2 linked regions of the Danio rerio genome follow. The protein of the gene in region 2 binds, or shares a complex with, the protein of the main gene of each other region. Links are inferred from orthologs where the notes say so. Each region holds a gene or a part of one and is shown on either strand. Other genes may lie near its edges. The genes, in order: vegfc and flt4.

Region 1 (3,833 bases), on a different chromosome or scaffold from region 2:
CTTCAGCACTTCATTTCAGTCAAGATTTGTGTGAAGAAACACAAATGGTTTAAAGAAAATTTACATCTACAATTATGCACTTTCATCCAAAGCAGCATTTAAAGGGCACCTATTTACCCCTTTTTCAAGATTTAAGTCTATTGTGTCTCCACAATGTGTTTCAGCTCAAAACACCCAATCAGATTATTTATTATACCTTTCAGAATATTTACATTTTCTGCTCTGAATACAATGTGCCCACCGTTCACATGTGCCTGTCAGAGTGTGCCTCAATCTTTACCTCAGCTGCATCAGATAAACAGTACAGTGACAGACATGAAGGAAGCAGACCTCACGTAACATGTGTGAGAAATACTACAGTAGGAACTTTCCCAATGATTATTTGATGTATTTTTTTGTGGAGTTAATTCAAGCCTTTCTGCAATGATGAGTCACACACAATGTCATTGCAAAGTTCACAAACACACACACACACACAGACACACACACACACACACACACACACACACACACACACACACACACACACACACACACACACACACACACACACACACACACACAGTGCGCATTTAACTTTGAACTCTTTTTGCATGGCAAATGTGACAGGACACATTAATATCCACTGCTGTATGGATATACGTTATGCTAATGTACAAAATAAACCTGATTTAACATCCACAAACTGCAATTGAAGTGTCTTTTTTATAATTGTTATAAAAATTATAATTTTATAATTATAATTTTATAATTGTGCTGACGTGGCTGTTCTGATGAATAAATGCAATTTTATTGTCTTTATTATAAGCATGCACTCTTTTTAAACATGTTTTAAACTTGTAAATCTCATTCTTGATCAGATCTGATCTGATGATGATTGAAAATCACAGCAAGCTGAACAGATCTTTTAATCCCAGTTGCTTTGATATGATTATACTCGTTGCTATGGAGACATGTTAATATGAAACTGTCAATCAATTTGGTCGGTTGGGAATCCAGACTCCTACGTTAAGTTGCTGTGGGCCTCAAAATGGGAAGGATTTGTATCCTATTTTAACATTAGAAAATTTTTAAAAAGATTTTAGAAAAAAAAAGAAACTTATTGTCTTTATATCACCCCAATATGACAGTGGACACACTATACTGTACATACACACAGTTCTGTCCAAACAGCTTACAAAAGATGATTTTCACCATAGGATATTTTTTATCAGGAAGGAAAAAGCGCTCAGAATATATAGTGAAAATCTTAATAAAGCAACAAACCTTTAATATGATTGATGAGAAATGTCAACTGTACATTGAACTTTTCCATCAAGTTTTGAATAAAAATAGTTTTTATAATGTAGGTGCTTAAACAAGTAGTTTAACCAAATATTTGCATGTATATTTGCTTTTACCGTGTATTAACTAGATTATTAGGACATTAGCTTCTATGGTTTGGTCAAATAATCATAACTTAGGGTGTACTCACACTTTGTACACGATTGTCCCCCCTCCCGTCTTCCCCGATGGCCCGCACTCACATTACATTCGGGTCTGGGCACGCTTAGGAAACTAAGGATTTCTTCAGTTATATCACTTTAGTCATTTGATATGCAGTGACACGCAGTCAAATATTTCACCGAAGAGATCAGCCACTTTTGACGCTCATAAACAATCATAAAGTCCTCGTGTTGCAGGAATTAGGAGGTTTGCTCTAGGTCCAGCTGTGGTGCAGTGAGGGGTTTGCATCTTTAATTTACTACGACAGTTTTTGTGTTCATTGAACAGTAAGAATGAATAATAAATCCATATAAAACAGTCCCTTAAAAGTTACGTGTCGCTTTCAGTTTCAGGCTCAGGCTGGTTTTGCACTCACACACAAGCGTACCGCGCCAAAGTCCAAGTGAACCGCCTGAGCCAAATTCAGAGCACTTACACTTCTCAAACTATCAGAGAAATGGGCCTGGGCACGGTTCGAATAGCATAGTGTGAATGCGCCCTTAATTGAAATTTGCTTCTTTATCAGTTCTAAAACATCTTCCTGCCATTCAAAATGAAAAAACCAAGTAACCAACTAGTAAAACTTTGCCTTCAAATAGCTTTTATCCATGAAAATTCCATTATATATTTTTTTCTTTGCATGTACATGGCAGGCTAGATTTTGTAACAGAGCTAAAATGTGCGCAAGTTCTTATATCTTCATTCAAGATGTCACATTATGTCATACCAGACATAACCAGCATAATGTTACAAAAACGTGGTAAATAGTGTCAAAATTGAATATACAATCATCATTATCATTGTCTTTGCAACAATAAGGTGTTCCATTCGTGACTTGAAATAGATTTGAAACTCTAGCTTTAATATGTTCAGTATACCCATACACAAGTAATTGCAGTGCAATCAAATATTTCACCTGGAATAGACATGTGTTTTAGAATATAATGACATTCTGTTGAAACCTTCTAAGCGTTCAAAGCAACAGAAAAATGAAAATACTGTAGATGTAAAAGAAAAACACTTGTGTGTTTGAACACTTACTCTGTTAGGGCCCTTCGTATGATTGAGTGCTGCTGTCGGTACAAATTTTGTTTTGACAAACAGCTGCAGGAAGTGTGGTTGGCGAAGCTTATGGTGACCGGTTTGGTCCCTTGCTTGACTGGAACTGTGATTTCAAACAACTGCGGGATGAAAATAGAAGAAAGGTCATATTTTCAGTGAAATCAGACTAATGCAGACTATCTGACGTAAATGTGAAATCGTAGGAAAGGTTACTTAATCTTTAAGGAGTGTGCTGGATGTCAAAATGAAATGTGGTCTGTCAATTATATCTGAATCGAGATTAATGAAAAGATTTATGTTTAAATGAGTTGTGCAACTGCGAGATTACACAGAGTTTCTCTGAAATCTTTGAGTGTTCAAACAACCACAACTAGAGTATGATCAAACAGACTGGTAAGGGGAAATGGGTAATGGGGAACTTGTGCTAGATAATTTGCAAGGCAGGCAAATACTGTTACACCAATAAATCACAACTTCCTCCAGCTATAGGGAAACATTCCTAAGAATGTATGTTGAATGAGCAATTAGAAGTAGTGGTAATGAGAATATGTAGCTAAAATATAGCACATACAGTTGAAGTCAGAATTAATAGCCCCCTGAATTATTAGCCCCCCCGTTTATTTTTCCCCCAATTTCTGTTCAACGGAGAAAAGATTTTTTAAAACACATTTTTAATCATAACAGTTTTAAAAACTCATTTCTAATAACTGATTTATTTTATCTTTGCCATGATGACAGTAAATAATATTTTACAAAAGATTTTTCAAGACACTTCTATTAATGCTTAAAATGACATTTAAAGGCTTAACCAGGTTAACTAGGTTAATTAGACAAAGTAGGGTAGTTAGGCAAGTTATTGTATAATGATGGTTTGTTCTGTAGACTATCGAAAAAAAAATATATAGCTTAAAGGGGTTAATAATTTTGACTTTAAAATGGTGTTTAAAAAATTAAAAGCAAAAAAAAAAATCTATTGTTCAAACTTTGAAAAAAAAAGCATAAACATAAATACACAATAAAAGCATCATACATCTGGTCCATATGACTTGTTTTGTATTCACAATTTTCTGATGCCACAAAATAGCTTTAAATGAGAAAAAGATTGACATTCACTCATTAACATTCTTAAAATTTAACTTTTAGAAAACTTTTATGGTTTCTTTCTTTTTGAAGGCTTTAGATGATAACTGTTATGGCACAGAAATGAATGTGGAAAGAAAGTCATAGAGACCTGGAACAACAAAAACTTAATCATAGATGACATAAATTTCACAGTTGGTCTTTTA
Region 2 (3,833 bases):
AGGAAGCAAGGACTAGGGGATAGGTTTAAATATTTCAGTGTAACATATTCGCCCCCACTTTTCTCACATTATATTTTCAGTTTCAGATATCCGGGGCACATAAAAACGCTCAGGGTTCAGGTTACGGACACAAAGTTTTTTTTATTCAGACATTTATGGGAAATCTTCAGGAAATAATAGTAATAATTCAAAAAGGAAGTGAAACCTTTTCTTTGCCGTCCACCATCTGAGTCAATGTGTCAATACTCTCAATAGGGTTTACAGCATGTTCAGGGTCCAAATCCATCCAGTTGTGACAGAAAGGACTCTGGTCTCGTCCACCCCTCCGTCTCCTGTGAACATATAAACACAAAATATGTGTGTCAGCACATAGATTCTATGAATATCACTCTCTAATGTGTGTGAGTGTTTGGGAGGGACATATCAGGATCCAGGATGCTCACACTGACAATTTCTACTCCAGGAACAGCTTTAGACTCTGCCTTCCTGTGTGTGATGAGAGCTAAGCAAGGTTTGACAAATGAAGGCCACACACATGTTTGTTAAGCTTTAAATCATCTATTCTAAACGAATCAGCACAATGGCTCTGTTACTAAACCCAGTCAGCTGTTTACCTATCAAATATTAAATAATCAAGAAATAAAGTTTTGTACACACAAATTACCTAATTGATAATCATTAAAGTTTTTAACTGTAAATGATTTTTTGCTGATTTCACAGTTGAACATCTGAAAATATATTCTTGCTGTATAAGCCATTTACAGTATGTTACTGTACTTATTGTTTTCACAGTATTGTTGAAGCACACTCAATAATGAAATATGTGTAACCCTGCCGGCCCTACATCACCCAACCCGCTTCGAGCTGGGATCGATCCAGGGACTCTTCGCATGGGAGTTAGTTGCACTAACAAGGAGGCTAAAGACCAAGAGAAGGCTAAAGAGGTCAGAGGAGAGAGGTTTATCTGCACAGCACAACACTAGCTGGCCTCCATTACATATGCATTATGGGAACCACCTGTTACTGTACATTTAAATGCACTCATACAAAATGACCAGAACACTTTGCTATGATGGATGGATAGGTAGGTAGATAGATAGATAGATAGATAGATAGATAGATAGATAGATAGATAGATAGATAGATAGATAGATAGATAGATAGATAGATAGATAGATAGATAGATAGATAGATAGATAGATATACAGATAGATAGATAGATAGATAGATAGATAGATAGATAGATAGATAGATAGATAGATAGATAGATAGATAGATAGATAGATAGATAGATAGATAGATAGATAGTTAGATAGATAGATAGATAGATAGATAGATAGATAGATAGATAGATAGATAGATAGATAGATAGATAGATAGATAGATAGATAGATAGATAGTTAGATAATAATGCCACCATTAAAAAGCCTCATGGTCAGCAGCACAGATCATTGGCCTGCTTTCTGTCAGCTTAGTAAAGTGTGCATCTGTGATATGTGAAAGGAACCCATGTTACTCAACTGCAGACTGATGCATATCCAGACAAAGCAAATGTTTTTTTGGGATGGGAAGAGGAAATATACCGCAAACTCAAGCTCTTTCTTGGCCGAAGCATTAAGTGTGTTCTAATATCATTCAGCGGATGTAGAAGTGGTACAATCAAACTGCTGAGTGTGAGATGTAAATTTCCCGCTGACACACAGCAAGATTCTAAGTCAGATGCTAAATGATTTATTTAACATGACAACTGACAAAACAAATTAAAGCCTCTGAGTTGGATAGTAAATTATTAAGGTTTGACTTCAGTACAGCAAAATACAGTAAACTGATTTATTAATAAAGTCTGAATGTGCTTTACTAAATCATTGGTTAAGCTATTGAAGTAAGCTGTTCATTGGTGTGAATGTAAATGTGCTCAATTGGGTAAAACAAGTATTAACATCAGTGTTGTTTTTAAATTATGAAGGAATTCAATGGCACTCGTTGCTTGAAAATAGGCTTTTTATAATCCTGCTCCGTGACTCAAAACATGAAACTATATACCTAACCTTTAAAAAAGTGTAACCTCTGGAGCAGTGCTAATATCTACACATTTCTACAACCTTGAAGTGGAACGCCTAGCCTGACTTCAAGAAATAATGAGTGCTGATAAATCTATAAAGCACTCCAGGTTGTGGTTTGAGCGTGCAGGAGTAATGTTGAAGCAGATGGGAATTGCGGTGCGCCTGTGGCTCTCTCTGGGCCTGTCTGAATGATTCAGCTGCCGCCCAAACTGCAGACCCTCCAAGCTAAACTCCACAAGCAATTCAAACCTCGTAGCAGATCCAAGACATCCTCTATCGGGGCCAGAGGATGCTTAAATGCCGCCTGTCTCCGTGTTTCCTGTTGTTTAGACGACAGGCCTCTGCCCTTCACACTGTGCTCTCTCCAAGCAGAACACTATAAATATCCTTAACGCCCTCCTAACCTCTCCACCTTCCCCAGCTGCCTTATCTCCAGCGAACACGGAAGAAAAGCTGCCACCGCACCGCTTGCTCAGACTTTACTGCAGAGAAAATAAACAACGCTTTTGAAAACACGGGAAAGAGCATCCCTGACCAGTAAGAGACTGCCAAAAGAGACAAAGTCTATCCACTCTGAACTCAACGTGAACTATGAGCACTGACATTCGACATTCAGTGGTGATTTTGAGGGCTTCGCAAGATCATCTAATACTCTCATTGATCCAGTGCTGACACTGGGAGCAGAATCCCATCACAATGTCGATATCCTTTGATTTGAGAGTTTTAGCCCAATTTATCCTCAATTTTCACATCCTTAGAATGTGATATAAAATCTTGTCGATGACCACGATCTGTGCATATCTGGTAATGTGAGCCATTTACAAGCCCAAATCATAAGTAGAATGCAAATAAAAAAGAAAGTAGTGATTTCTAAAATTACTTTGACTTGTATTTTATTGCAGACAATACAACAAACATTATTTAAAGTGTTCCTCATGATTTTATAGAGGTTTTTTTTTTTTCGTAAAATAAACTGGTATTTGGATTTTGGTTATTGCAACACATTTTTAAAAAAGTTGGGACAGGAGCAATTTAGGCTCTTAATTTAGGGCTACAGCTGTAATCAGGTAAATTGGTTAAAAAATGATGTGATTTAAAACATGTGATGTCAACAGCTGATTGTAATTATGATTTGGTACAATGGTAGCATCCAGGAAAGGTCTAGTCTTTTAGGAGCAAAGATGGACTGAGGATCACTATTCTGGCAATTTTCAAATCTTTCTCAAAGAAAGATAGGAAGACATTTGGATATGTCACCTTTAACAGTGCAAAATTAAAAGATTCAAGGAACCTGGTGGAATTTCAGTTTGCAAAGGACAAGGCCGCAAGCCTAAGCTGAACAACTGTGACCTCCGATTGCTCAGGCGGCACTGCATCAAGAATCGTCATTTATCTGTAAGCGATATCACCTCATAGGCTCAGGAGTACTTTGGCAAACCTTTGGCAAATACTGCAATATTTAGTTACATCCACAAATGCCAGTTAAATCTAGGGTTGGGTACCTTTGTAACCAGTATGTACTAGACCGAATCAGCATATGAATTTCAGTGCCTAATTTTGGTGCCACTGGTGCTGCGACAAGGACGTAAGAAGCAAGGGGTGCATCAAAGGCACACATAGGTACTGTACGTCACACCATCTCTAAACACTTCATTCTAAACAACTCTTGAGGAATATGGGCAAGCGATGTCAGGCGTTTGTTCTTGTTGCTTATGGAACGGACACACGCAATTCATGCAGCACAGTGCATTCAGTGAGCGAGAGCGACAC

What was found.
Region 1: the proteins of flt4 (region 2) and vegfc are in contact, whole or in part, in a crystal structure (PDB 4BSK), measured with the Homo sapiens proteins. The link is inferred for Danio rerio from reciprocal best matches to the Homo sapiens genes FLT4 and VEGFC. Residues at the interface, in NP_891555.2 of Homo sapiens: Gln172, His199, Asp200, Ala201, Leu202, Tyr203; in NP_005420.1 of Homo sapiens: Leu119, Asp123, Trp126, Gln130, Asn167, Arg210.

The regions. Positions count from the first base shown.
Region 1 is NC_133176.1:41,980,782-41,984,614, forward strand, and holds part of vegfc (vascular endothelial growth factor C precursor), read right to left. Parts: intron 2,667-3,833; coding exon 2,527-2,666; intron 1-2,526. UniProt on the Homo sapiens protein: Growth factor active in angiogenesis, and endothelial cell growth, stimulating their proliferation and migration and also has effects on the permeability of blood vessels.
Region 2 is NC_133189.1:18,154,782-18,158,614, forward strand, and holds part of flt4 (vascular endothelial growth factor receptor 3 precursor), read right to left. Parts: intron 333-3,833; coding exon 206-332; intron 1-205. UniProt on the Homo sapiens protein: Tyrosine-protein kinase that acts as a cell-surface receptor for VEGFC and VEGFD, and plays an essential role in adult lymphangiogenesis and in the development of the vascular network and the cardiovascular system during embryonic development.